4 linked regions of the Arabidopsis thaliana genome follow. The protein of the gene in region 3 interacts with the protein of the main gene of each other region in a pairwise test. Each region holds a gene or a part of one and is shown on either strand. Other genes may lie near its edges.

The links.
Region 1: the proteins of AT2G02410 (region 3) and AT5G37670 interact in a two-hybrid assay, tested with the Arabidopsis thaliana proteins (one large-scale study listed by BioGRID).
Region 2: the proteins of AT2G02410 (region 3) and MYB70 interact in a two-hybrid assay, tested with the Arabidopsis thaliana proteins (one large-scale study listed by BioGRID).
Region 4: the proteins of AT2G02410 (region 3) and PKP-ALPHA interact in a two-hybrid assay, tested with the Arabidopsis thaliana proteins (one large-scale study listed by BioGRID).

The regions. Positions count from the first base shown.
Region 1 is NC_003076.8:14,965,039-14,971,556, reverse strand, and holds AT5G37670 (HSP20-like chaperones superfamily protein), read right to left. Parts: upstream 2,800-6,518; 5' UTR 2,523-2,799; coding exon 2,109-2,522; 3' UTR 1,966-2,108; downstream 1-1,965. Other genes in the region: ARLA1A (ADP-ribosylation factor-like A1A), read left to right, coding at 459-496, 972-1,053, 1,154-1,308, 1,408-1,569, 1,643-1,760. UniProt on the Arabidopsis thaliana protein: Possesses chaperone activity.
Region 2 is NC_003071.7:9,901,986-9,909,215, forward strand, and holds MYB70 (myb domain protein 70), read right to left. Parts: upstream 4,048-7,230; 5' UTR 3,840-4,047; coding exon 2,910-3,839; 3' UTR 2,521-2,909; downstream 1-2,520. Other genes in the region: AT2G23270 (uncharacterized protein), read left to right, coding at 1,326-1,586.
Region 3 is NC_003071.7:628,981-637,108, reverse strand, and holds AT2G02410 (yacP-like NYN domain protein), read right to left. Parts: upstream 4,476-8,128; 5' UTR 4,397-4,475; coding exon 4,235-4,396; exon of another isoform or gene 4,223-4,234; coding exon of another isoform or gene 4,205-4,222; intron 3,901-4,204; coding exon 3,829-3,900; coding exon of another isoform or gene 3,825-3,828; exon of another isoform or gene 3,710-3,824; coding exon 3,585-3,709; intron 3,482-3,584; coding exon 3,318-3,481; intron 3,237-3,317; coding exon 3,028-3,236; coding exon of another isoform or gene 2,959-3,027; exon of another isoform or gene 2,933-2,958; coding exon 2,849-2,932; coding exon of another isoform or gene 2,780-2,848; exon of another isoform or gene 2,770-2,779; coding exon 2,731-2,769; intron 2,652-2,730; coding exon 2,496-2,651; 3' UTR 2,115-2,495; downstream 1-2,114. Other genes in the region: AT2G02400 (NAD(P)-binding Rossmann-fold superfamily protein), read left to right, coding at 4,660-5,124, 5,205-5,696; GSTZ1 (glutathione S-transferase zeta 1), read right to left, coding at 6,154-6,261, 6,520-6,579, 6,736-6,797, 6,944-7,019, 7,106-7,159, 7,318-7,389, 7,485-7,591, 7,756-7,812 and 2 more.
Region 4 is NC_003074.8:8,136,057-8,144,898, reverse strand, and holds PKP-ALPHA (Pyruvate kinase family protein), read right to left. Parts: upstream 5,715-8,842; 5' UTR 5,531-5,714; coding exon 4,928-5,530; intron 4,829-4,927; coding exon 4,738-4,828; intron 4,633-4,737; coding exon 4,439-4,632; intron 4,247-4,438; coding exon 4,125-4,246; intron 3,985-4,124; coding exon 3,506-3,984; intron 3,430-3,505; coding exon 3,128-3,429; 3' UTR 2,847-3,127; downstream 1-2,846. Other genes in the region: AT3G22961 (Paired amphipathic helix (PAH2) superfamily protein), read right to left, coding at 2,090-2,761; ARFC1 (ADP-ribosylation factor C1), read left to right, coding at 7,386-7,577, 8,176-8,535.

The sequences.
Region 1 (6,518 bases), on a different chromosome or scaffold from region 3:
AAAGATGAAAAAGAGAGGAGAGAAGGAGGAACTTAGAATAAGGTAGAGAGAAAGAGGTAAATATGCCATTATTATATATAATATAGAGAATATAGCTGTTTTTTTTTTCTTGTATTACTTTTTTAATTTATAAATTTTTGTTAGTTATTCTTTGCAAATTTCCCATAAAAGAAATAAAAGGAACACACAAAAAAAAAAAGAATGGTGACATCTAAAATTCTAAAAGCAACAATAGCGTGACACCAAGAGTGAAGGAAGAGACACCGTTTTCACAAACTGACAAATTCTATTACCTTAAGTAAGGTCCAGATTCTTCCCTGTTCCTCTTCCTCTCTGTTTCTCTCATTACCCATCTAGCAAAATTCAAGAATCGAACTAGGGCTACGAAATATTTCGATTTTGAATCTCCAAATCCAGAACTCGAGTGTTAAATCTTCGAAAAGATCAAATCTTTGGAGATGGGTCTTTGGGATTCACTTCTTAATTGGCTCCGGAGGTAAACAAATTTCTAACTTTCATTTTGTTTTGCTGATTAAGTTGGTTTATTAGTTGTAGTCCTTTTGTTCTTCCATTGAAGTAGTTTAGAGTTATAGTTCTGGGTTTAGTAAAAACGTTGCCAAAAACCAATTTTTCTCACAAAGAGTCAACAATTATTGTTTCAAAATCTCAAACTTCTCTTGAGTTTCTTGGGCTGTATCTTTTATTGTTACATTATATGAATTGGTTCGCTGAGAAATCTACCGTTATTTCTATGTTCTTGTGTATTAATTCTCTTGACTTGATTGTCATTTTAATCCATTTATAGTAGTGATGCTTTATGTGATGTTATAGAATGGTTAAAAGAGTAGGTTATAGTTGGTTAGTAATGTATTGTTGTTTTTGGTTATACTTATGTTTTTAGTGTATAGCAGAATCACGTTTTGGTAACACTTAGATTTTGATTCTGTGTTTGCTTATATTTGTTGTGTCAGCTTGTTTTTCAAACAAGAGATGGAGCTGTCACTCGTTGGACTTCAAAATGCTGGGAAGACTTCTCTTGTCAATGCCATTGCTGTGAGTAGAAATTTCATCAGAGGTTTTAGTCGATAAATAGTATTCTCGAACAAATCTAATCTTACGCGTTTCACTTCTTGTTTTCTTTGGATTTGTCAAGACTGGAGGTTACAGTGAAGATATGATACCAACTGTAGGATTTAACATGAGGAAAGTTACAAAAGGAAATGTTACAATAAAGATTTGGGATCTTGGAGGGCAACGAAGGTTTCGTACCATGTGGGAACGTTACTGTCGCGGTGTTTCCGCCATTGTGTACATCCTCTTAAAACTTCTTCGATATGTTTTGAACATCCCATGTTACTATTTGGTTAATAATCTTTGATGGTATATGTTGCTGTGGTAATATTGCAGATATGTGATTGATGCTGCAGATCGAGATAGTGTACCGATATCAAGAAGCGAATTGAATGATCTGCTAACGAAACCGTCTTTAAATGGCATTCCTCTTCTGATTCTTGGCAACAAAATCGATAAGTCTGAAGCTCTCTCTAAGCAAGCTTTGGTTGATCAACTGTAAGTTTCTTATTCAAAGTCCATACAAAACAATCTGGATTCGAGTATATGACTTTGGATTGTTTTGATGCAGAGGGCTTGAATCTGTAACAGACAGAGAGGTTTGCTGTTACATGATCTCGTGTAAGGACTCGATAAACATTGATGCGGTCATCGATTGGCTCATTAAGCACTCGAGAACTGCCACATAAACAGACACAACAAGCTCATTGGTCTAGAGGAAAACAAAGCTTGTTTTTGGTTTCTTGATGTTGTTTTATTTGTTGAGAATCAATCAGATGTAAATCATCAGCTTTTGGTTTCTTCTTGGTTTAAATCTTGTTTTACAATTCTTCAATGTTCAAATACTTTCGGTTCATGAAAATCAAAACCCGGTTTAATCCGGTTAAAACTTCAAAGCTTGCTAGTAATATTAACATCTTATTGGATTCCTAAATATTACATACTGGCATACTGCAATTCATTAGATTTATGAAATAACAAAGTCCAATTTTATTCATCTTAAGAAAACCAAAAACCGGTTTAACCCGGTTTAGACATCAAAGCTTGCTAGTAATATTAACATTCCTAACTTTAGACGATTTCGATGAAGTGTCCTTAGGAACAACAACTGTAAGAACACCATTCTCCACGTAAGCTTTAACTTGATCAACTTTCACATTCTCCGGCAACTCAATCCGCCGCAAAAACTCACTTCCACCACCGGAAAAAGCTTCTCTCTCCGCCACGTGCCACACCAAATTCTCCTTCTTCTCTTCCTTTATTCCTTCTCCTCTTATACTCAAAACATTCCCTTCTTCAATCTGTACTTTGATGTCTTCTTTGTTGTAACCAGGAACGTTGATCTTGAAGATATGAGAGTTGTTTGATTCCATCCAATCAATCAGAGCCGTTGATCTTGACCATTCTTGGAATCTTCTAAATGGATACAAGAATATTCCTCTGTCTGCCATATTCTTCTATCTTTCTTCTTTAGCTAAGCTTGTTTTCTAGAGATGTGTATATATGTTTGAGTGGAAAGTATTTTATACAGATTACAGAAGTCGAGACAGTTCTTCGTTATCTTGTTTCTTCTTCATTTTCTCTGACTCCAGAACTTTGGAGAAGCCCAGGGGGTTGTTATATGCTACGGTGCAGTGTATATTGATATGATGGATATCGATTGATTCTAACCGTTCGATGCGATTCTAGGATTTTTGTGATTATTTGGGCCTTTTATCTTTATCTGTTGTCCCTTTTTTTTGGTATATATATATATACTCTTCAATTTTAAATCTTGAAAAGTATTATATGTATAATATAAAAAATATATTATATTTAGATGTTCTCAAGTATAGAAAAATTAATATAAATTTCAAAAATAATTCATATACTCAAGATTTCATGAATAGCAACATATATTGATTTCAATCCTTTCTTTCTTTAGCTCTATAACATGATTTTTTGTTGTAATTTGTTTCCAGCTTTGCACGATGATGGAGAAACCGGTTAACATCAAGTTAAGAGTAACATTCTATGCAATCACGAAAATTTCACAACCCGAACAAAACTAAGTACAGTTGACGACTAGATATAAAACGAGTCATATCAGTCGTGAAAATGGAGAATTCGCAAGACTTAGACCAAATAAAGTGAAATGACTCTCATTGCCTACCTTGTGGCTAGTAGTCTCTTAAACCGGTGCGATACGTGTTTGGAGCTATGTGCGATTCATGTTAGGAACTTTGTGCTTCATTCATAACTTTTACATTTGAACCAATTGTTCTGTTGATGGATCCAAAATCTTTGGACCTTCCAAGTTATATATAAGAATTTTAATAGTTGTATTCACTAGTATAGTATAATAGATGAGTTATGGCTTAGACTTATTTATAGTTAGATCACTTTTGGATCTAGGTAGATTTTGACTGTCTTAGACTCTATATTTTTTGATAGATACGAAACCCACGGAACAACTTTGATTCGAATATTTTCATTTTCCATTGGGCAGAATAAGAATTCAAACAAAAGGTTAAACCCTAATTTGGGAGTTGAAGACTTGAAGTGAAGAGATTGGTGATGAATAGTTAATGATTTTTAAAAATTTTATAATATAAAGTATGATTTTCAAATTTGCTAACACATGTATCAAATACTTTGAGTGAAAGAGATAATCGACGTGTTAAATCTAATTTTATTAATATTTTTTATTTTTTTTAAAAAAGAAATTCTTGTATATAGACGTGTTAAATCTAATTTTATTAATATTTTTTATTTTTTTTAAAAAAGAAATTCTTGTAAAATCAAGTACTACTACTAATTATGCTAAAACGATGGCTCTCTCTCTCTCTGAGGGCGATTTTTTGCCTAACTCACACCGTTTCAATTCTCCTCGCCGGAGCAGTTCTCCGACCATCATAATCTGTCTCTTTTCACGGTTTTATGACGGCGGTTACTTTCTGCCAATCAGTTTCCATGGCAGTTATCATTGCCCTTCACTTTCGGAGGGTAACTACCCACACAAACCGCCATGGATACAAACTTATATATACTTCAATTCGCTCCTTCTTCTCCCTTTTCTGCAATTCACCATTTCTCAAACACTGTCATCCACAATCATGAGTGACAGACTTCGTAAATCGGTTCAGGATTTGAACTTGGGTATTGATGATGAACCGGTGGCTCTAACTTCAGAATTTTGTTCACAGGCTGCATATGTGAACCGTTTCTCCTTGGTGGTAACAACTGTGAATCCACGCAAACAGAACCTCCGTGCCTTGATAGGACAAATGCCACGAGTTTGGGGCTTTCCTGATTCGTGCGTCGGGCGGATTATTGACAAAGGCAGAGTTCAATTCAAGTTCCAGTCTGAGGAAGCGATGAATCTCGTGCTCCGTCGTGGACCGTGGTCATTCAACGATTGGATGCTTTCGATTCATCGGTGGTATCCAAACCTTAGCGAGGCTGAAATGAAGATCATTCCTTTTTGGGTACAAATCACCGGTATTCCTCTCCTTTTCCTTACCAATGCAATGGCTAGATGTGTTGGAAATAGATTAGGACATGTTGCTGATGTTGACTTTGATGAGAACTCAAACCATACGGGTTTTGTGCGAGTTCGAATCAATTGGAATTTGGATGATCCTTTACGCTTCCAAAGAAATTTCCAATTTGCTGATGGTGAAAACACTGTGATAAAGTTTCGTTTTGAGCGTTTAAGGAATTTCTGTACCAAATGTGGCTCCCTTAAGCATGACATCAAGGCATGCACCCTTTCCTTTGATAATGAAGATCCGGTGGAGACAAGTGATGATGATGATGCTGATGATGATGACGATCATCACGACGACAACAAAGAACATGACATAAGCGACACTGATACTCTTCAGACAGTGGATCCAGCGACTCTTATTCCCGGCCTTCAATCTTCGCTTTCAAAGGGGAATCAACGCCAGGTACAAAAACTTTCAGATGGTTATTCGGTTCCATGCGTCATTGAGGACACAGACCTCACAGTTGAAAGACTCCGCTACCTTCACGCCAAACTTGCAGGAGTTAAAACTGACGCACCGGTTGAGAAAGATCTGCTCCTTGAGTCCTCTGACAATGCACAAAATGAGTTTGTCTTCATGAAGAGAAAGAGGGTTCGATTTGAAGAAATGTACCAACAGGTGGAAGCTGCAGACGAAATGGGCGTTCTGAGTCAACTTTGCAAGAAAGGAAGAAAGACTGAATCTGCAGGATCGTGTTCGATACATGATGGACGTGACGGAGGCGCGGGGGGCCCGGTACCCCTAAGGGATCCAATATGAGGATCATCTCATGGAACTGTCAGGGCATCGGTATGCCGCTGACTCAATCACGGTTGTTTCGCTTATTCCGTATGTATAACTATGATATTTTATTTTTAGTTGAAACCTTAAACCAGTGTGATAAAGTATGTAAACTAGCATATGATTTAGGCTTCCCTAATGTAATAACTCAGCCCCCTAATGGAAGGAGTGGTGGCTTAGCTCTTATGTGGAAAAACAATGTCTCTTTATCCTTGATTTCTCAGGATGAAAGACTCATTGATTCTCATGTAACATTTAATAACAAGAGCTTCTACTTGTCTTGTGTGTATGGTCACCCTACTCAATCTGAACGTCATCAACTATGGCAAACTCTTGAAAATATCTCAGATAATCGAAATGCTGAATGGTTGCTAGTGGGTGACTTCAATGAGATACTTTCGAACGCTGAAAAAATTGGTGGTCCCATGAGAGAGGAATGGACTTTTAGAAATTTCAGAAACATGGTTTCTCATTGTGACATTGAAGATATGAGATCAAAAGGAGATAGATTCAGTTGGGTAGGGGAAAGACATACACACACAGTCAAATGTTGTCTTGACAGAGTTTTTATTAATTCAGCCTGGACTGCAACATTTCCATATGCTGAAACAGAATTCCTGGACTTCACGGGCTCTGACCACAAACCGGTCCTAGTTCACTTCAACGAGTCATTTCCCCGTCGATCAAAGCTTTTCCGTTTTGATAACCGCTTAATTGACATACCGACATTCAAACGTATTGTTCAAACAAGCTGGAGGACAAACTGGAATTCACGTTCTACACCTATCACGGAACGGATCAGTAGTTGTCGACAAGCCATGGCAAGACTGAAACACGTTTCTAATTTAAACTCAGAACAACGAATCAAAAAACTTCAAAGCAGCCTAAACAGAGCAATGGAGAGTACAAGGAGGGTTGAAAGACAACTAATTCCACAACTTCAAGAGTCACTAGCGAAGGCCTTTAGTGACGAAGAGATTTATTGGAAGCAGAAGAGTTGTAATCAATGGATGAAGGAAGGCGATCAAAACACCGGCTATTTTCATGCATGTACAAAAACAAGATATTCTCAAAATCGAGTGAACACAATCATGGACGATCAAGGAAGGATGTTCACAGGAGATAAAGAAATTGGAA
Region 2 (7,230 bases), 9.3 Mb from region 3:
ACATATTAAGAAAACATATTAATGTTGATTTTAAATGTATTATTTTTTGTATTTTACAGTTTCCTATAATTTTAAATCAATGATATTCAATCATTTTTATTAAAGTTTACAATTCATTGATAATAATTAATAAATATTACATAGAAAATTTAAAACATCGATCTTTTTGAAATATTTTTCTTAAAAAATCAAACAAAAAGGAACATAGGGAATAGGTGAGTCTCGTGTTTTTTTATGTACCATCCAACTCAGATCTCATTTTCGGTAATTTCTAATCTACAGGTTTATTTTCTTTTATAACCAAAACCAATGAATGTGAAAATATAAAGAAAATTTTACAATGTACTTAAAAAGAAAAGTCCTCCATACACATATTCGTCGTCATACATTAAGTTCCACTAAACGATTTTTAAGGATGGTTTTGAGAAAAAAAATACACACACAAAGGTTGAAATATCAACAATCTGATACTTCGCTCATGAACATTTCAAAGAAGGCTACTTTGAATGGAAATAACAACAACGTGAGAAACAAGAAAAGTACATAGATAGATTGGTGGGGCCTGAAATTTTGTAACATCAATCAAGTTTGATGCCCACCCAACAATTTTAATTTTCAACTAAAAACTACTTCGACCGTTAATTTGGTAGAAGTAGTGAATTTAGTATTCTTTCAAATTAACGGTCGAAGTAGTGAAAATGGTTATGAAAAATTATGTAACTATTTAGATCATCAAATATATGTTTGTGGTAATCAATCCTTAGAAAACTCTTATCATAAAACATTTTTGAGTTAATGTCATCTACAGTGATTATAGTATACTTGAAGGAAGGTGAGGACATTAGGTTTTGTCACAATATTATATAGATAAACATAAAATACCATACTAGATTTGAATTCCACACATAGTTTATGGTCTACAACTAAAAGTCTATTCCAAACAATCAGAGACAAAATTAAAATCATTTAATTTCTTCAGCCAAATAACTAATCTCCATTCCTCGTTGATGGCTTTATATGTTCGCAAATTATATTTTTAAAAAGAAATTGGAAGACCAAGAACAAGAAGCAACCTCAGTATTTTCCCAGGAAGGAGCCTAAAATTCAAATCTCACGTCTTGTTGAATTTTAAGCTTATGAAGTCAAAAACTGAAAATGTCAAACTTTTCTTCTTCTTCAAGGCTCTTCACTTTACTATATATTCTAACTCCCAAGTCCACAAACTACTCACAACAAATTTAGTCATCTCATAAATTAGGGAACACAAGAAAAATAAAATAAAAAACATTTTTGTTTTTACTACTCAAAAATACCACTCAAAGAAAATGATGATGAACAAAGTTGTTTTGGGTTCGTTTCTGTTTTTCATGTTGGTGAGTTCGAATTTTGTGGTGGAGGCTCGTCCTTTGGGTTTAACGAAGGCTGAAGAGAACCTCGTGGCTAAGTTCTTCGATGGTTTGTCACTTGGGGCGATTAAGGAGTCGGGTCCTAGCTCTGGTGGTGAGGGTCATCGGTTCGTGGACCGGACTGAGACGCTTGAATATGGTAAGCATTCAGGTCCCAGCACGAGTGGACCCGGTCACTAAGTTCCCGACCGAACCAGTTAATGTGGCTGCTTTGGTCTAGCTCCGGAAATTGATTGCTTTGTTTAGTTTTTTTTCAGATTAATTATTCAGATTTTTCTTTTTATGCTTAGAACTTGGGAAAATCAAGAATTGGAAGAACCTCATTTGTTCTCTGTAGGAATATTCTTTTGTTAACTTATTGAAATTCATTTGATAATAATGTACAATGTAATATATATTGTAATTAATTTATTATTCTGATTATGTGAATGAATAACTGGATATTCATGTTTTTAATGAGTTTCAATAACAACATAGTTAAGCTCCAAATCCACAAAGCAAAAAGAAGCGACTTAACTTTAACCTTCTTCTGAGTGATAATCACCTAAGCTTACCTCTTTAACAGCTACATCCACTTCAACTTTAACCAAGAAATCGCGATTTCCGTGGAAATTGAAGTTAACCAATTCTTTAGATAGTTTCTGAAGGATGTTGTTCCGGATGGAGCTGTGGAAATTTGGCTTGGACAACAAGTTATACACATATCTAGTGCATATTTCTTCTCCATTATATAGGTAAACATTAGGAGCCTTACGTGCAAAGCAATTGAACCCATTTATGGACATCATCAAGCAGGAATTGATGCAAGTGTGACTCCTTGTTGTATTGTATGCCAAATTGTGAAAAGGAAGCATTAGTTGTAGCAGCTGCTATGGAGAAAGGTACCATACATCCTATTGGAAGGTATTTGCTTGTCAAACATCAGTAATCTTACACCGCTTGATAGTTATTAACACAATCAAACTCTTTCTTTTTTGCAGAGCCACAGTATTGGGAAGGACCTCCCTTGTGCTTTGAGTATTTCCCCGGTAGAGGCCTTACTGCTACAGTTAGTTGTATTGAGGTGATCTGTTCTACACTCTGTATCATTCATTGAATATCTATATATGATGTTGTCTCTCACACTATAACCTTTACTGCGATGCTATAGTCGGTAACCGAAGGTAACAAACTACGGAAATCGTCACTTGGTTCAGTAGAATTCATTACTTCACTCTTCGAATCGCAAGACCAGTCTAGAGAGATCAAGAATGCTGTAAACTCCTCTTTGTATGGAAATGACTTTGTTCATGCTCTTCTTTCACTTTATCAAAAGGTAACATTGATTCACCTCGAGGACCAGCCTCATCAACCCTTTTATAGACCAATTTCATTAAATCTAAGACATGTCATGATCAAAATCAATACATTTATTCAGTTTTTTTTTCGAATGAATCAAATCTCAAATCATGAAATTGGCTCTTTCTCTGCATTTGCTACACAATTCTTCTCTTTTCTCACTCACTACTCGATCCTACCTAATCCAATAAACTCTCTAAACCCTACATTACGACCATTAGTTCCTTGCACCATACACGAACTTGCTCCTCCTCCAGCTCCTCCGCCGTTTCCTAGCTGTAAATCCGCCATGTAACTCCTAACCTCCGTCTTAATCATCTCCTGCACCACCGTCATAAAATCTCCACCAAGTCCAGAAATCTCTCTTTCCTTCTCTTCTTCTTCTTCTCTCTTCACCGGAAACAACTCCGGTGGAGTTGTTGACTCATTGACCCAAGGCAAAGACAACCTCAAACAAGTCATCGGATCTTTCTCCTCCTCCTCCGGCGATGATGACTCAATCACCACTCCACCAGCTCTCGCCGTCGGTTTAAAAACATGACAAGAAGAAGAAACCGGTAAAACAGATCCACTAGATTGCGATTGCTCGCTGACGTCAGATCCCGTTGGACTTAACGCCGTCACCACAACAACTCCTCCTCCACCACTCGCCCTCCGTTTTAACGGTTTTTCATCAGTTAAATTACCATCATACCCTCCATTACCACCGAAATCACAACTCTGCCCTTCCTCTCCTCCGCCGCCTCCGCCGCTACATTTCCGCTTCAGCGTTGAGTTCCAGTGATTCTTAATCGCGTTATCAGTGCGACCATTGAGAAGCCGTGCAATCGTCGCCCACTTGTTACCAAACCGAGCGTGCGCTAGTATAATCGTATCATCTTCCTCCGCCGTGAATCCACGGTGCTCTACCTCCGGAGAAAGCTGATTACACCAACGGAGACGGCAAGATTTACCGGAACGTCCAGGGATTGATTTGCTTATCAGAGACCAGTTCCTTGGTCCGTGCTTCTGAACCAACGATTGTAACAGATCGTCTTCTTCAGGACTCCATGGTCCTTTGATCCGATCCATTTCTTTCCGGGTCGAACCAGACATCGCTCGGATCTTCTTTTTAATTTAAAACTAATCAAATCGTTTAAAACGCGTTTCTATTGTTTGGGGATTTTGGAAAAGAACGAAACGATTTTTGTTGAGAGGATAAGTATGAAGAGGAGAGAGTATTTATACGAGGTGTGATGGTTAGAGAGGTCACCGGTTCTACCGGTAATTTTTTATCGTTAGTTAACAACAACTTAATTTTTTCGTAACTGTAAATTGGATTATTTACGTGCATAATTATGTTTTCAACTGAATCAAATTGAAATAAGTTAACTGACACCAAATTAAATATGTAAGTATATGCCGTTTTGTTTTATTATTTTAAAATCCAGAAAACTGAAATTTAGTTTGAACCAAACAAAATAAACTCTAAACTAAAATTTATTAAAATATATACTATTAAACAAATTATTATGTAATGTTTTTTTAATGAATGTTAAATTATAACTAAACATGTACTGTATTTCTAACTATAACTAAACAAAGATATTAAACTAAAATCAAATCATATTACATCAAATTATAAATGCAAACCTTTTTCAAAAAATAAATTCAAATTAAAAATTCTTATATATTGTAGTTATGTAAAACTATTTAGAAAAACTACATATTTAAGTAATTTTGCGTAATTTCTAAATTGGATTAGTTATGAAGAAGATGTAACGTGAGTAGTCTGATACGTATTTGAATATTTAAAAGAGAAAGAAAAAAGCACGTCAGGGAGTGGCGGTGCGATTGGGGGAAATGCGTCTGAGAGAGTGAGGCTAAAATAAAGAGAGAATCTTTCCAAGAAAACGGTTGGGGATTTGGGAAACAGCTGTTAGTGGGGACAGCTGTCAACGAAATATGTAACTGTGTGTGATAGAGAGAGTACATTTTGTGGTACTTGAGAGCGTTTCACAGGTGGATCGTTTTTTTATTTAATTTAAATCATTTCGTTTTTAAGTTATTTCCTTTTTTAATTATCTTTTCTTTTTGCATTTTGAAGGTTACATTCTTTGTTTTTCCTTTGCATATCAGTGTTGGTATGGTCGAATTTTTGAAGATTTCTATTTAAACGTAATTAGATGCACATTAATTATCGTTGTCGTATCTAAAAACGTATTTAAGTTTTTTCGGTCGTTTTATTTGTCGGATTATAAAATCTTTAGTTTAGGTTGTGAAAGATTGACTCTTATCAAGACCGTCTTTACCCCATGGCAAATTAGGCAAATGCCATGGATCTATTACTGATTTTAAAAACAATCATAAGCATAAAAGGCCCAATTTTCTTAAAACAAAATTTTATTAAGAGATTTTAGTTTTTATTTTTATTTTGGCAAAGGCTCAATTATAGCTTGAGACGGGACTGTTTCTTATATCGATAGAAAGTAATTAATGTTATCTTTGGTTTGATCGCATATACTTAATAAATTTTATCCGTAGTTATTTCAAAATAAAGGATTTATTGATTCTGAAGACTAATGTTTTTTAAAGGGTTTGTGTTTAGTTGCTTATGATTTTAGTTGTTGGGTTCGGTCTCTTTCGATTTAAGTTTAAAAACTTTTGTTGGTATTTTCATTAGATTTAGAAAAAATTACGTTTTCCTTCGACTTTAATTATAAAATCATATATGTCGTGTGTCGTTTTAGTTTTTCTTTTTTGAACGTTGTATTTTGTATTGGTTTCACAACAAATTTAAGAATATTTTTATTTTTTATTTTGTTGTGTGAAAACACATTTTGTTTTCAATTTAAAAGCACTGAAACACAAACGTCGCTTTTTTCGAAATTGTATTTTGCGTATTGAATTGACGTATCTATACATATTAGAAACGTATAAGTAAAGTATCCATACTTATTGAGTGATTCCAGTTTCTTCTGTTTTTGTTTTTGATTTTCTGATTAAAAGAAAAATAAAACGAAGATAAGGATGACGTTAAAAGTGGTTTAGGTTTTTTGTTGGATTCTTCAGAGACTTTTCTGACTAAAGAAGCCAGCCTGTATGCCAATATTATTACTACTTTTTATATACAAAAATCAGTTATTTTGGATATTCAAAAAGATACTAATAAGATTCTTACGTAAATCGAAAACGACAGGATAGATCGATTAGAGTTTTGAGAGCCTATCGTTACTATTCATTGTTTGATATAAGCTAGTTTAACATGTCTAAAAGATTTATGTTGAAGTAAAGTTCATTTCCTTTGTCGTTTTATTTGTTGTCAACATGATACTCATATACAAAGGAATACGTTAAACCGTACATCAGCCGTGTACCGCACAAAAAACGTCGCCTGCACATGTTCCAATGCCAACATGAACCTTGTCGTGAGCTTCCTCATTCTCTTCTTTCAAGTTATAGTTAGATAAGGTAAGAGATATCGAAAAGAGTTCTTAAGATTCTGTTTAATTATCGAAGCCAAATTTTATAGATTAAACAAGAAGGTGTCATTAATGGAGATACGGTATGAGATTTTCCCTTATTGGTCCATCGTATCTACTACCAAATTCTTCCTTCCCATAATTGTATATACTATTACCACTAATCATTTATGTAGTTGGTATTTTCTTATTCAAATTAAATATTAATGACATTGACCGAGTAACATGTATAAGTGTATGTGTGGTCCGCAATCGTACTTGTATATCTCATTTACTAACTCTGCATCCCTTCACGTGAGATTTGATTAATGTTTCTCTCATTATCCTGATACCCTACACGTTTTCTGAATAAATCTACGAACATGAAGTGGTATGCATTGGAAATTTTTAGGCGTATGAGTGTTTTTTCCCCCATTATATGATATGTATCTCAATGTGCTTTTGTTTTTTTATGATTTTCAACTATAGTAGTTTTTCATGATAATCAATATGCTCTGTCCCTTGATGTATCATACAAGTATTACTTTGTGATGTAGTGAATGTAATACATTATTAAGTGGTACGTCCATCAAAGTATTATAAAACAATAGTTTTTTCCTTTAAGAAAGTACAACTTTTCATTACGAATTTTGAGGGAGAATGTATTGTAACTCAATTCTTAAAATTATATTCTTTCACGAGAAAGGAAATTATTCCGTTCGGTCTGTGTCAATTCCATTATATATACTCACATCGAGACGTAATATCTACTTTTGTCGAGAGAAAAGCATGTGACTGCCGGAACAAAAAAAGCATGTGACCATATATCTCTCAGTTCCTTGTAAAGCTATCTCTCGAAATGAGTTTATTTAAAAGTATTCAAAAGTTCTTTGTTCAGGTTCAATGTATGTGTGAGCATATTCCTTTGGCAATTGATATCTATTAAACCAAAGTCGGAAATTTTTGTAAGGATATTGAAATATTGTCTCAAGTATTTCGTTATCAGAAACCTTAATAGATATCGATCCAAGTTAACGAAGAAGATG
Region 3 (8,128 bases):
GTTCATGACTTTCGACATTTTTCTTTACAAAATGAAGTCATGGAAAATTATGAAAAATATTATCAAAATAGAGAGATTGTTTGAGAAACTTTACAAAATTATGAAAAACTAATCAACAAAATTATAAAAAAACTTTCTAACAATCGTTAAAAATCTTTCATTTCTTTATTTTTTAGGATTTGATTGAAGTCATCAAAATTCCTTGTAAATTAGGAACCAATAACATCACCTTAAACAGAAAACCAAACCGGAAGTTATTCATAAACCGTTTGTTTTTCTGATCTGTAAAACAAAACGAAATAGTTTAACCAAAATCCAACCGGAAATGTATATACTTACCAAACCTATATCCTATAAACCAAGATAATTAATGACATGGAGTGTAACTACCTACGAGTGGGAAAAAAGTCCTTAGCTCAGGTTGTCAGGTATCAGAGTGAGTGGTTCGGACATTAAAGCACAGAGAAATCTGAAATCGAAAACACAGAGAAGAAAGAAACGATGGCTGACGATAATGGCGGGCCGATCTCCTTCCGCCGCTTAGTGGCATTCCATGCCATTCAGTTCTATTACAAGGCCGCTGCTTCATTCTTGTTCACGTTCTTCATCCTCCCCAAGCTCGGTGCTTTTGTCTCTAATCTTTTCTGGGATGTTTTTGTTGAAAAACGACTTAGTGTTATTGCTTCGATAGTCTGTTTAGCTGTTGTGGTCCGCTACTTGTTTCGCAACGACGACGAATACGTGGAGCTTGCGGATCAGCCTGTTTATCAGCCGGAAGATCTTACATTTCCTCCACCAGATCTTCAGTGGTATCCTCAGTGAGTAAAAAGGAAACACGAAAACTGATAGAGATGATTAAGTTGTATTATCCCTTACATATCTTAGTAGTTTATTTTATGTTCATGGTACTTATGTCGTTTGGTAGTTGGATTATGTTCCTTAACCGTCTCTGTTATTAATTATCCATCAGTTTTAAGTACAAATTTCATTTCAGCTATGGTGTATAAATATCATCACATTAATCAATCCCTTGAGACTCAAAGACAACATACAATCCGGAAGTCCATGTCTAAATCCAATTCGCCATCTAAGCTATAGTGAATTTCAAACAAAGCTGCAGAGGCCAATCCACAAATTTCATGGTACGCTAGTCCGTGTAGTGTTCAGATAATCTGTAGAGGTACTCGCACAGTACGCTCGGTAACAAGTTGGTGTAAGCTTCCTCAACCGTCTGCAAATCATTTACACATGAGTTATGCAATTGTTCATCTTGTTACCAAGAAAAAGAAGTCAAATATGAAACAAGTATATGCAATGAAGCAGATGTTGTTGAAACATAAGAACTACTCTTTATCGAACTGTGTTTGGTAGGACCTAATAGCATTTCTTTGATAGAGACAATGTGAAAGTTTCAGGTGCAGCAAAGAGGAACAAAGAATAAAGTTAAAAAAGTGATTAATGTTCGTGCAGCTAAAGTACCTGTTTCAGCTCATCTATGTCTTTGCCAGACTTTCTGATAAACGGCTGTAATTTCCCTGCTCATGACATGTGACCAGTAGAATAGAGATGATACGTATACTTACTTCACCGCACCATATCCAACTGCCTCAGCTGTTTGGTTCAGTTCCTCTGGTGTCTATTCTTTGTCCTTATCTAAACAGAGAACAACATATAAGGATGGATAGACCAAATAATAACTGAACAAGTGAATGGTTCGACAATTCAAAACGTAAAGAGTGCTGACACAAAGTTAAATTTAGTAACAGCAGACAATCCATTGACATGAACAATATGCAAATTCAGATCAACTTCAGCAAATACAGACATGGAAAGTCATTAATATATGAGATCTATTTTCAAAAGATCACTTGCTATTTCTTTACCTTTTCTTCAATCTCAACTCGAAGTCGAAGGCATTGATAAGCCTTTGCAAACTCAGTTCTTCAATCTTCTCTTGAATCTCTATCCATTCTCGATAAACCATATGCTTTGATTGATTGGAGACTGACCAGAACAAACAGCTCAAACCCTGGAACTATCTGCAAATTTGTAGACTTGCTCTGCCTCCAATTCTCTCTACTGCTTCAAGTGTTACTGATGTTTGTGTTTGAAAATAAACATCCAAGTTTTTTTACATAAAAATTTGGTTCATTATTCAACTAAAAATTTACATTTTTACATTATTGTAAAATAATAAACATAGGTTATTAGGTTAAGATGATTCTTATGCATGAAGCTAAAAGAAAAATTCAGAACTATCTTTTAACCATATGTTTGGACCAAAGAAAACGAATCTATATATAGATTAGTCAAAAAGAATTCAGACACAAATACAACAATAACAAAGCATTTGAGCTCTCTCTCTCTCTATCTCCCTCGTTTCCTCTGCAGCCTCTGTTTTTTACAAGTCAGATTAGCTTACTTACTTGGGACAGAAGTTACATGGAGAGACCAAGCCTTGTTAATTGTTTATATAATCCGGATTGGTCTTTTTGTCATCTCTTTGTTTCGTTTTCTGATAATTTGTCTCTAAGATCTTTAAGAGCATCAACGACTTCAGAATCAAGATTGTGTTTAAGCAATCTCCCTTGGAAAGATGTTGACCTTGTTTCTTGCATCATTTTCTCAACCTCCTTATGCATCGATTTAATCTACAATATCATGTTTCACAAAATCAAAATCACAAACAAAAAAAAAAGAAGCAAATTGCTTTGGTGATGATCTTCATACCTCAGAAACCAATGCCTTGCTACTCCAAATATAAGCTCCCTGTCAAGAATCAGTCACCAAAATCAAAAACAAGATATGAACATAACGAGTTTATAACATCGATATGATGCCCCAATACCGCTCCATGTGCTGCTTGTTGTTGACAGACATCAGATGTTACAACCCAAACCTTGGGGCATCCATCTTCTCTCAATGCAACCACCTATCAATATCAGAAATGAAGAAACATCAACAATTATTCTCGTAAAGCCGTCTATTTGAACAGGCTTTGGGGGTAAAGAGATCATTTTTCCTTGCCTCCTTTTCAATCCAAGCGTCAGCACAAGTTTCTCCTGAGAAAATCACATCAACACTGGCCAAAAAGGATAAAACTTTTTGAGTTGTCAAAGTAAATAAGGATATCGAAAACAGACAGAAAAGGGCCAAATGACTGTACCCTGCAAAGTCTTCCTTGTGAGTAGGAAGACCAGACATGAGAGCATCAAACACAACCACTACCTTAACCTCTACAACAATTTCAAATCAAATTGTCTCATTACTCATTAGCCATAGATGAAATCAAATGTAGATTCGTCCAAAGTTTGTACCTTTAACCATACTGAAGGACACAAGTTCATCAACTAACTTCTGCCGAGCAACGTCAAGCCTTCCTTTCATGAAATGTTTCTTTAACTTCATCCAATATCCACACACATTATAACCATCAACAAGCAAAACCGGAACTGCGTCATCCAATAGACCTTGGTTCGTGCTGTAAAACCCCTTTCAGGGAATCACAAACATTCCTTAAACTTTCAAACCTCAAAATACATTCTAAAAACAATATGAAGATAGTAAAAATAGAGTGTAATTACTAGTAAAGCGTATTTGTAGGATCCCGGTAGAGCTCGCTATCATCCGGTAACTCGTCTTTCTCTACTTTCTTCTTCCTGTAACTAGTCGCTGGCTTAGCCATGCCAGATCCTCTGCTCTGAAACTCCTACAATATATATCATACAATTCCAAAGATTGTAACTTAGACAAATTCTTGAACACTAATAATGTTTAGACTTAGACACAGTAGTAATGAAACAAAAAGATCACACTACTACTACATGCCTTCCATAACTTGAGAAGCTGCAAGTTATGCTTAACATTGGATTTGATTCTCGGTGGTTCTGGCTCTGACTCCTGCCATCAAAAACCAAAATCAAGTGAATGGTTTGCAAAATGCTCAATGAACAATTCATCATATCCGTAACTCCGATACTAGAGATCTAAAAGGAACCAAACAGAGAAGAATTTCAGAATTCAATTATTCAATTCAAATCAGTAAACCAATTGATCATAAACCAAGAAGAAAAGACTGGCAAATCCATTTCAGAATCAATTCAAAACAATGAATGTTATGATGGATTAGTTGATCACAAACCCCCGCTTCGAATTCTCAACTATTTTGGATTAAAAAGAGACTTTTAGTTCTCAAAGAAGAAACCTTTACATAAATGTGCATCTATGTGTGGACCTTAAAAGAAGAAGATTGATGAGGCTTCTTGCTTTTTCCTCCCATCTTCACCACCAAAACTCTACAGCTATCGTAAGAACAAGATGATGAAGACCAGTTAAAGTATACGGCGGAGGAGGAAGAGGAACCACCTCTCTGCGGCGGCGCTCCGGCGGTCTTCATCTATTTGACTACTGAAGAATTGAAAATTCTCTCCTTTTTTTGAAAAGTCTATAAAACTAGTGGATAATATCATGTCAACGTTACGCTTTTGTATCAACGCATTATATCTTTAAGAGAGAAAAAAAAATCCATTTTTTACGTGTAAGAAAAAAACAAAGGATCCTTTTTTACTGGAAAGATGTTTTTTTTTTCTTATCTTCTGAGATAAATTGCGATAGAGAGAGAGAACAAAAAAATTCTCAGTGAGCGCTTATTGATCAACAATGGCGAAAGAGACAGTGTGTGTAACCGGAGCTAATGGTTTCATCGGATCTTGGATAATCCGAACGTTAATTGAGAAAGGATATACTAAAATCCACGCTTCGATTTACCCAGGATCCGACCCGACTCATCTTCTGCAACTACCCGGATCCGATTCTAAGATCAAGATCTTTGAAGCGGATCTCTTAGACTCTGATGCAATCTCCAGAGCTATTGATGGATGTGCGGGAGTGTTCCACGTGGCGTCACCTTGTACGTTGGATCCACCGGTAGATCCAGAGAAGGAGCTGGTCGAACCGGCGGTTAAGGGAACGATCAATGTGTTGGAAGCTGCTAAGAGGTTTAATGTGAGACGCGTGGTGATCACGTCATCTATCTCCGCATTGGTTCCTAACCCTAATTGGCCGGAAAAAGTTCCCGTCGATGAGTCGTCGTGGTCCGATCTTGATTTTTGCAAGTCGAGGCAGGTTCGTTAAATTTCGGTTTAAAATGGTTAGTGATGATTTATATGATATTTGTAACGATTGGTATATAATTTTGATTTTAGAAATGGTATCCAATTTCGAAGACATTAGCTGAGAAAGCAGCTTGGGAATTTTCGGAGAAGCATGGAACCAACATTGTGACGATTCATCCATCAACATGTCTCGGACCGCTTCTGCAACCGAACCTAAACGCAAGCTGTGCTGTTCTGCTACAGCTTTTACAAGGCTCGACCGAGACGCAAGAGCATCACTGGCTCGGTGTGGTTCACGTGAAAGATGTGGCTAAAGGTCATGTGATGCTATTCGAAACACCTGACGCTTCTGGACGGTTTTTATGCACTAATGGGATTTATCAGTTCAGTGAGTTTGCTGCTCTTGTGTCTAAGCTCTTCCCTGAGTTTGCTGTTCACAAGTTTGATAAAGAGACTCAACCTGGGCTTACGTCGTGTAATGATGCGGCTAAGCGATTGATTGAGCTCGGGCTGGTTTTTACTGCGGTTGAAGATGCGGTTAAGGAGACGGTCCAGAGTCTTAGAGACAAAGGCTTCCTCTGAGAATGTATGATATATCTTTGCAAATTTCAAAATCTGTGACCTTTATTGTATGATACAAGTAGAGAAACTAAGGGCATCTCCATTCATGAGAAACCCATAAAGTTTCTCAAACAAAAAAAATATTAATATTATATTATAATTTGATTATTTGATTAAAAAAATATTTTTATTAAAAAATTGAACCAATAGTGAGATGAGAATTGTCATGATAGGTTGTTGAGAGTATCTTAGAGTTTCTCAAGTGAGAAACTTTCTACACTCTCTCTCCTTCATTTTCATTATTTTTATTTTTTTAATTGTGAGAAACTCTTATGAGATACCTCCAATTGAGATGGTATAATATACGTAACTGGTTTATATGATACATGTATGAGTACAAGGTATTATTATTATCATTGTTGTTGTTGTTGTTGTCTGAGGTTTTATTAAAGTGAGAGTAGCTTATGGGTTCACAGAATCAGATGGTGGAAGAAGGAGCATCTGGCTGCTTTTCCGGTAGTGCATTTTGAAACGCAGGCAGTTCGTTGTATGATTCGTAACATTTTGCAAGAGTTGGGTACGGTTCCTATAAAAGAGAAATACATGTTTTACAACATTGTAGAAACAGAAACCGAATGATGCAAATGAGAAGTTAATAAACTGAGGAATTCGTCTATGTTACTACAATATGAATATCTTTGTGAGTGAGAGTGTGAGACAGAGACAACATATAATTTATGCTACCATAGAACTGATCTAGGATTCCGGGGGAATATAGTACGCAAAAATCTAAGCCTGAAATAGTGTTGGGTAGCAAAAGAAAAATTCAGAGAAGGAAAAGTACCATGTTAATCTGGAATCTGTTGATTGCTCCGTGGATCTGTGGTGCTAGAAAGAGATCAGCCTGCAAAACAATGCTTCATGGCTTTAACAATTGTCTACTTGCTGGTTTGTATAATAAAGGGTACTATGCTAAAGTTACCAAAGAATCACTGACTTGAATCTTAAATGTTACGAAGATAGCACCATAAAGAAAATCCAGAGAGGTTTAGAGTAGTACCAGGTAAATTTCATCACCAGTCGCATGTTTCCCAGCGCAATTCACCAACAGTTTCTCGAGAGCTGAAAGAGAAAGGAGACATAATTAGATAGGTCACTATAAAACTAAAAACACTAACATATGTCTTTTTCTTGATCACGTCTCTGTATCTTACTACTCATGCCAATGACAGAGTGTTGCAGATTAGGGTAGATTAGAGATCGCATACCTGTAAATCCTTTTGTGATAGCATTATTAACCCAGGCAGTCTTCTCCTCCACATTTATCTTTTCCTCGATATACCTCTGTAAAAAAATCGAAAAATGTAGCTAAGTTTACTCTATCTAGAACAGTAGAATCTAAGAAACTGACATCAATCTCATGTCCTCACAATAACAGCCAGATTTTGATGAGGCTGTATGCCAGACAAGACAATACTCATTGCCTGCAATATACAAAATAAAAAATGCATCAGAGTGGGAAGCAGGACAATCTAAGGTGATATTGTTCATGGAAACACATGTAACAAAGTATGATTCAAAGAAAGAAACCGAGAAACCAAGAGTTGACCCGAAATACCAAAAGACAGAAAGCTTGAAATACCTGGTAATTCACAGCTCGTTTATGGAGGTCACGAGGTAACAAAGGTGGCTCAGGGTACTTCTCATCCAGATACTGTCAACCCAATCACCACAAAACCGAAGATCGATGAAATGTTCTTTTTAATCAACAATACCAAAAAAAACTTAAATGGATGTGTTACTACTGACCATTATTATCGCAAAAGAATCATTAATCACAACATCTCCATCCACCAGAGCTGGTACAGTTCCCATTGGATTGATCTTCTTGAAATCTTGAAGATCAAAACGATAAACTTTCAACACAAGAACCCAAACCATCAGTAAATGATTCATAAGCACATTTCAACATTCTCATCCACATGATTACTTACTTACTTACTATAATAGCTTCTACACTTTTTTCAAATCAAATTCAATATAACCTTTGAATCCGAATCAAAAACAAGAAACTACGAACCTGAATCGAATTGATCACCCTTGAGCAAATTCACTGGTATATACTCATAATCAAGCCCTAAAACAAAGTCAACAAGATCCAGATTCAGACCAAGAACAACACTCTTTGCTCACAAAATGACTAGAACCGAAACTAAGATCATTAGCTGAGACCTTTCAAAGCGAGGGCGATACGGACACGATGAGCACACGAGCTTCTCCAGTAAGAGTAGAGCTTCAACTTCTCTTCGCCGGAATTCGCCTGATCAAATCGAAAAAAAAAACCAAAAATTACGAGGAAATTGAGTGGAGAGACGATGATCTATTATCCACCATAGAAAGAGATGTTGTAACCAACCATGATAAACAAGGAATTTGTTGTTCTTCGCAGTAGC
Region 4 (8,842 bases), on a different chromosome or scaffold from region 3:
ATATCTATGTGGATGTTGTAATGATAATACTGATATCATGGTTATATATTTTTTACACAAATATATATACTGCTTTACATAATCATTACCCTACCTGTTTTTTGCTTCTTTTTGTTTTTGGAGTTTTGTTGCTGTTTCTTTTGAAAATATTCCTATTTTTCTGGTAATTCAGATTTGTGCAGACAAAACAAAGCACGTATATACATATTTGCTAAAGGAAGCATTTTAAAGAGAGTTGCTTATTTAGTGAAGATTGGATCTTTTGATTAGTTGAGGTATTTAGAGAAGATAACCTAAAAATAGTTGAACCAAAGACAGACTTTTCTCATGCAATGTAACAAATTATTTCCAATAATACATTTGTTATTTATCATAAAAGTGGGTGGTATATGTACGATGTTCATCATAATTTAGTGGTTGAATTCACAGCCAATAACATGGATAGAATTTCTTAATTTATTGTTTGCTATTGTTGGTGTTGTTGTCTCTATTATCAATTTATTACATTGTTTGTATATGTCTTTATAATTCGGACCCGTAAAGTATTAACTACTTAATTAAAGGTCCCTATTCTGACTATATATAATAATTGAATTATTGAACTGTTTCATGATTAATCTAAAACTTGTGAGTCTTTTGCATTTAAAATATATGATTGGGTCCATTTGCTTCTATTTTAATAGAAATGGGACCATTGGTTTAAGTGATGCAAACAGTAGAAGGGAAGATATGATCAAATCCTCCAATATTATTTGATTTACATTAATTTAATCTAAACTATATAAAAATTACGTTCTCTAATCTAGTGGATTAATTTAAACCACCAGCTTAGTTTTTATACTTGACGCATTCAATTATGTTGATATGTTTCTCATTAGTGTCGGAGTGTAAAATTGGTGTTGCAAAATAGTTAAAATCATTCTTTGAGTGAGTTTCACGGTTTAATTTCGGAATATTGAACATAGAAACGATTGGTCAAGAGGACCCCAAAACTTTCGGAAAGATATTAAAATGAACCGTTGTGACAAGTAAGTCCGTAAAAGTAGTTTATATCACATTTTAGAAATTTTATCAATTGCCAATTTTTTTTTTGAATAACTTTCAAAAAGATAAACAGACATTTGTTCTTTTTTTTTGTAATAGAAATACTACTTTTAAAAAGAAATTACTATTTGAGATAGAGCTACGATTTTTTTATTCTTTCGATCAACACTTTTTATTTATTTTAAATTAAATTTATCAACTAGTTCTGAGGGTAAATTTATATATTTGAACCTAAAATAGAGATATTCTTGGAAAAAATAACATATAAGTGTAGTAGTTCTACAAATTATACACAAATAAGTGATTGTTTTTGTAACTCACAGCACCATCTTTTTTGTTTCACTCGAGGCCTCGACCAAAAAAATTTGGTTTAACTTTGATTGGGGCGAACTAATATATCTCTCTCACCGGTCCATAGCAATAACAACATCAAAAAGCAATATATTGACGATGATTATATATTCGAAGATGTTGGGTTAAAACCTGCGGGCCTAAATGGGCCAAACATTAGAAAATAAGCCCGTCATCCTTAGAATGTAGAATCCCGAGTTTACGTAGCAAGCAAAGAAGGCATCAATGTATAAGTGTGTTAAGTGTGAAAATTGACGAAAATAGGCAAAAAGGACAAGAACATTTAAAGGCATTGTGTTTGTTATGTTTATGGTATCAGAGTCTTTTAAGAAGTTTTCATGAACTTTTTGATAACCAAAGTGTATCAGAAGTTTTCATAAACTTCCTAAACACGTTTTTAAATCAAGTGTGCATAAAAACTTTGAAAAAGGATTCATTACGCCCTCCTAAGAAAACAACGTTTTTTTTTTTTTTTTGGTGAATAGAAAACAACATTGGAAGACTCGAATGCAAAGAAACATAACGAGATTCACAATCACAATCACAATGTAGCCACAAATCAATAATAAAAAAAAAAGACTAGAAAAATAAAAGAAACAAAACTCTCTTCACTTGTTCACATTGCTCTTTAGTTCTTGACGGTCATAGCTTCGTTTTTACCTTAAATTCTTTCGCATCAGTCATCTTCGTCTTCTTACTCTTGCATCAGTCTCTTCTTCTTCACTTGATCCAGATCATACTGACTCTTTGAAACGTATTTCCCATTTAAAAACTCATCAGAGGATGATAATTCCTCTTCAGTTTCAAGTCTAGTCTTATACTCTTCTGCCCCCGCCTCAAAACCACGTTTCGGTTTTTTGAGTAAACGGGAATCAACTAGAAACAATATGAACTCCTCTTTAAGAGATGCGTGATCGCAGAGAATCACGTCGAGTTGTTCAACCAAATCCACAATATCACCGCCAAACACCAGCTGATTTAGGAACGCACCGTGTAAACCCTTTCCCAAACCTTCCACTTTCTTCATCAACTCAACCGTGCGTTCTACGTCTGATTTTGCCGAGTTACAATCCTTCTCTGTGATAGGTGAATCTAATAGAAGAAGCTGATGGAATTCTTGGAGCAGAGCGTCGTGGTTACGAAGAATAGAAGCGACTTTGGTTTTGAGATCGATGTAACTTAAAGACTTAGATCGATAAGACTTCATTGCATTTAAAAATTTAACGATGATTGTCTTATCATCCAACTCTTTAACTTTTTTCACGAACTCGCAACTCCGTTGAATCTCTTCTTCCGAACAATCCGACGGAGTTTCATAAAAATCTCTCTCTTGATTCTTCATCCGAGGTCTCTTGCAACTTTTCATGTTTGTTCAAATATCTTCTCTAATGGAGAGGCGATTCTAATTGTGATTATATATACACTATTTATAATATAGGGTTATGGTATATATTCGAACTCATCCTATTTGGGTTTACATATATATCCTAACAAAAAGATAAAACAAAAGGACTAAATGATAGAATCGAATATTTGAATAAGATTACTGATATTATTGAAAACCAAAAACAAACAGTACACACTACAAACAAAGCTTACACATTACTGTTGTTAACAAACCGAAGATGATGATGCCTCTGGAATCTAATGTAAGAGTAGTCTAAAAACAGTAACAAAAGTAGGAAACAAAACACTCTTTTGCGGGATTGCGAAATTGTATAAAGAGAGAGAATTACGGGACGTTCATTACCTGGATTGATTGCAGCATGTCCGAGACTGCGATCACGAGGTCACCAGATTTGATCATACCTCTTGATTTCAGTAACGAGAATGTTTTGTTCAAGTTGCTTTCCATGTCGTCTGAGAAGCTGAGACGGAATGGGATAAGTCCCCATTGTAGGTTTAAGCGTCTTCTCACTGAGGTTGTGGTTGTGAAAGCAAAGATCGGGCAGTCCGGGCGACATCGGGAGACCAGTGATGCCATGTGTCCGCTCGTTGTGTAAACGAAAACCGCGTCCACTCCAAGATTGTTAGCTGCAAGTTTTTGGATAGTAAAATGAGACACTAAAGACATATTGCCTTCTATGGAAAACAAAGAACCTAAATTTACCCATTTTAGCAGCTGAGTTACAGATCTCTTCTGAGATTTTGTCTGAAAATGAAGAGCCTATGGCTTGAAGCGGTACAGACTCATGGCGTTTCTCTTCCCTCCACCATCTCTCGATTCTTAAACTGACAGTCCTTAGAACCGTGAGCGCCTTGTCTGGGAATTGTCCCATAGCTGATTCTCCAGAGAGCATCAATGCATCTGATCTTTGTCTTACTGCTTCAGACACGTCGGCAACTTCTGCTCTGGTTGGAGTTGGGTACTCAATCATGGACTCCAATAGCTGTGAAGCGACAATGACGGGTTTGTTAAGAGCTCTGCATACTTGGACGATTCTCTGTTGAGCTGCTGGAACTTGCTCAAGAGGTATCTGAGCTCCCAGATCTCCTCTTGCAACCATGGCCCCATCTGATGCTAGAATAATTTCTTCCAAATTGGTCAGTGAATCGATACTCTCGATCTTTGCAATCACTCCAATTTCCCTGCATCATAGTTGAATACAACATCAAAATAAAACTATAACTAAAGATGGTGAATACATGACGCAAAACCCAATCCCAAAGTAGATCATATGTTTCCTGTACAGTAGTATGATGTGTTGATATTGAGCATGTTTACTTACCCTCCACGGGAACGAGCAGCAAGATAACTTTTAAGGTGATTAATGACTTCAGCCGACTTGACAAACGATACAGCAATGAAATCCACACCTTCAGCAATTCCAAAATCAATATCCAACCAGTCCTGAATATAAAGAATTGAGGTATCATCAGTGAAAATGAGTATGTTTTCCCTCAGGTATCATCTGTTTTGCTAACATGGACTCATCTAGTTTCCAAAAGTGTACATCTTCACCATTGCTTTGATCCCTCCCAAATTTACCAAGTAAAGTGAATCATAATTCAAAGCTTAAAGGGAAGATACAAAATTACAAACCTTGGAAGAAATTGTTGGAAGCATGGCATTACGCTCTCGTACAAGACTTCCATCTCTCCAAAACGTCAAGTTAGCTCGAGGAAGCAACAATCCAGGATCGGTACATAGACACTTAACATCAGGACCAATCTTCTCAATCACTTCAAATCTCACCATCCCACCATCAACCAAAAGTTCATCCCCAACTCTTACATCTACACCACACACAAAGACCAAATGATTCCTATTTCATACGCAGTCACCATAATATTCATCTAATGTTTTCACTTCCACTTTTACATAAACATAATTGCATATACCTTCAGCGAAACCATCGTAGCTAACACTAATGGTACGTTCAGGACGAGAAGAATCAAAAGCTCTAACAGTGAAAGTCCAAACCTCACCATCCTGTAAAAATGTCATCACCACCAAAGCTTAAACATCTAAATCACAAACACAGCAATGTCTACATCGAATTCAAATCAAAATAAGAAGAGATTAAACAACCTCTGCTTTAGCTGAAGCTTCACCACCAAGATCTCCCATATGAATCTCACTACCTTCAGTATCCATCATAATAGCAACCGCAAAGCCTTTCTCCTCATTAAGCCTCCGAACACTACGAATCACACCGCGGTGCCAATCACGCGTACCGTGACACATATTAAGCCTTGCCACATTCATACCTCCCACAGCAAGCGCCTCAAGCTGCTCAAATCCACAAGTCGCCGGTCCGATCGTACAGATCAGCTTCGTCCTCCTCGTACTTCTAAATCCATTCTCCTTAAGCTCAGCTTCCGTCACAGTATCAACCTCAATCCCAGACGTATCAGTCGTAACCGCCGTAGCGACAACGGATCTCTCATCAGACTTCACAGCACCAGTACCGTTAGGTGAGAGAAGTACTTGCGAGGATGATGATGAGGACGATGAATCGAGATCCGGTGAAGGAGATGATGACGAGGAGGCTCTGATGGAAGTGTATTTGATGGTTGTTAGAGGGAAGCGACGGAAGGAGATAGAGGAGAGAGGACGGTTGAATTGTGAGTGAGGGAGATGGAGAAGGTGAGGAGTGTGTGAAGGAGTGGAGAATTGAATAGACTGAGACATGGTTTCGCCGGCGACGGAGGAAGAGAGATCGGAGAAATCGAAATCGAAATCTCAGGACAGTTGGCTCTGAGGAGAATGAAGGCGGAGATATCGAAGTGTGAGAGTGTTGAATTTGGATTTTTTTTTTTTTTTCTGATATGATAGGACTTTGGGAGAGAGGTTATATTTGGAATATTTGTATTTGTATTTATATATATATTCTATGTTTTGGTGCCGTCGAGGCTGTATGTAAAATAAGTGTACCTACCCACCTAAGAATGATCAAATTAGATTTTGTGATTATTACTATTATTATTTTTAATAAAATATTAAATTCGACCAAGAAAAAATAAAGTTAGGATACATCAAATGTAACTTTTCCAAAATTGTTTTGAAATTAGATTATACAAGAGAGGTTTTAAGGACTTTTAGATGCAAACCATGTTTGGAGATTTGGTTCGTATCTACTATATTTCTCCTTTCAAATGATTGAGAGTTTTTTTTTTTTCCAGCTTATCTATTCACTTAGGAAGATGTGTGATAAGAATCAGAGTTTTATTGTGTGTTTTTTTTATTGCGTTCTCGCCAAATCGAATGAACCATTATTTGAAAACTGTATTAGAGGAAGAATATATGGATTCTGTTACAGTGATCAGAAGTAATAATAATGACTAGAGCTTGCCATATTGTAGAGAATCGTCACTAGAGTAGTGGTTTCGCTAGGGAGGACCAGACTGCCGACGAGTACTTACAGCTGAAAAACAAGTGCTCTCGTGTCTCGATAAGAGTGTTACATAACACACATGTTCGATTCAAGTTCACATTCCAAGCCTTCATTGAATCTAATGTAGAGAGTCGATTCCGCATTGCTAGCCATATACAAAAAGAGAACTATCAACTATGATAGGATCTAAAAAATCCAATTAGACTTTTCTAGAACTATTATATATATATATATATATATATATATATATATATATATATATATATTTTAAATCATCGTATACAATAACAAAAATAAGATTCGTTACCAAAATTAGCACAAATTTAATAATAAAATAATCAATATAAGCATTTAATTAACATTTCACACGATCGTATTATAACCATGATTTCAAATTATAATTAAATTTGTTATTTTAAATCCTCAATATAATTTACTTCTATTTAATTTTATATACTTCTGTGGGCCGAGAAAATGTAATTGTTATAATCTAAAATATATGGAAAGGCCCTAAGCCCGTTTGAGTTTTTTTTTTTCTCGTTTAAAAACATCTTTGTGGATTTCAAGTCTTCAACAATGTTCGTCTTTGGCGTCGTGGCTAATGGCGGTGACGTGTTCGGTGCCATTACGGTAGAGGCTGCAGCCGTTTGGGTAAGTAAAAGAAAACATTACTATATAGTTTTCATTTTAATATTTGTTATATTAAAAGTTATTAATAATTTAGATCATCATATTTACAGTTTTGACATTGTTTCCCGCATACTTTTCTTCTTCTTCTTCTCTCCACCCATCTGCTTTAAGGAAGGAACCTCAAAAGCTTACAAAATAGTAGAAGAAGAACTTTTTTTGATCTCCGATTCTTACCTCTGCAATCTTCAGATTCTAGCTGATTCAAGGTTTGATCACAAATTTCCCGATTTGTATATATATAATTTAGATTTGGTTAACTTTATCGAATCTGGGATCGTTGTATCCAAATCTGATCTGGGCTTCTCTGATTCAATTACTTGGGTTTGTAAAATTGATGGGTCAATTTAAAGGATGTATCTTTAGGGTTTCTCGATTTCACTCTGTTTGTAGAACAATTTGATCGTAAAAGTAATGATGTGTTTTATTTGATTAGGATCTTGTTTGTGATAGAAATTGGAGGAGATGGGAGCATTCATGTCGAGGTTTTGGTTCATGATGTTTCCTGCAAAAGAGTATAAGATTGTTGTTGTTGGTTTGGATAATGCTGGTAAAACGACGACGCTTTATAAACTTCATTTGGGTGAAGTTGTTACTACTCATCCTACTGTTGGTAGCAATGTTGAAGAGCTTGTCTACAAGAATATTCGCTTTGAGGTACTGGACTCTTTCTTTATTCATTTGGGTGAAGTTGTTTCTTAGCTTCTTATCTAGGGACGTGTTTTAGAAGTTTGAAACTTTATGGATGTTTCTTAAATTTGCCATTGCCATCTTTTGATTGTGTTATTGTCCCTAGCTATGTTTCTTGCTTGGGTGTGTGCATTTTTCTCGTTGAAAAATGGATGATGTTTTTGTCTAAGTTCTTGTCATGATTGGTTGAGAAGGTGTCAGAAACTCATAATGAACGTTTTCGTATGTGCGATTTATGGTTTTGTATAGTAAATTTTTGTAGATGTTGTTTATCTAGCTTGTTTGTTATACCGGAGGAACTGTTTGCTATTTCCCATTAGCTTAGTTTTTTTGCCAGAGGACTGTTTGGAACATCTTTATACAGTGGTCAAAGTCATGGCCTGAGATGAATTCATCTCTGTTTTATGACAATCTGCATGTGTTCTTATATGTCAAAACTCAATGATGAATATAAACGTAACTAAACTTACTAAAGTTTGAATTGTTTCCTGTCAAAAACTAACTGTTGGACACTGGCAATCGAATATTTGAGGCGATGTTTACTTTTATGATATGTTGTCTTTAGGTATGGGATCTTGGTGGGCAAGATAGGCTAAGAACTTCATGGGCAACATACTATCGTGGAACACATGCTGTGATTGTGGTTATAGATAGCACAGACAGAGCCAGAATCTCTTTCATGAAAGATGAGCTAGCCAGGTTACTTGGTCATGAGGATCTTCAAAACTCGGTCATACTAGTTTTTGCAAACAAACAGGATCTGAAAGACGCAATGACTCCTGCTGAGATCACGGATGCACTTAACCTTCACAGTATCAAGAACCATGATTGGCATATTCAAGCAAGTTGTGCGGTTACTGGAGAAGGATTGTATGATGGGCTCGGTTGGATTGCCCAAAAAGTTACCGGTAAAGCCACGAGTTAAGGGGAAACCAGAACTGAATCAGAGAGAGTACGTACTATTCTTCTTTGTTTCTTTTGTCTCCTTCATATGTTCTTTAACATTGTATCCTCTTGACTTTTATGTAACAAGCTTCAACTATTTTGGTTGCTCTCATTGAAACTGTGTCCAGAATTTTCATATATGGAAGAAAAAAATCTTGTTTTGTTTCAGATTTAAAACTACCACCAAACTCAAAATCCAAACGAACTAAAAACAAAAACAGAGCAACCATTAAAACAAGACAAGACACCATTGTAGCCTCTCTCAGAGCTCACCACAGTCTGCGATA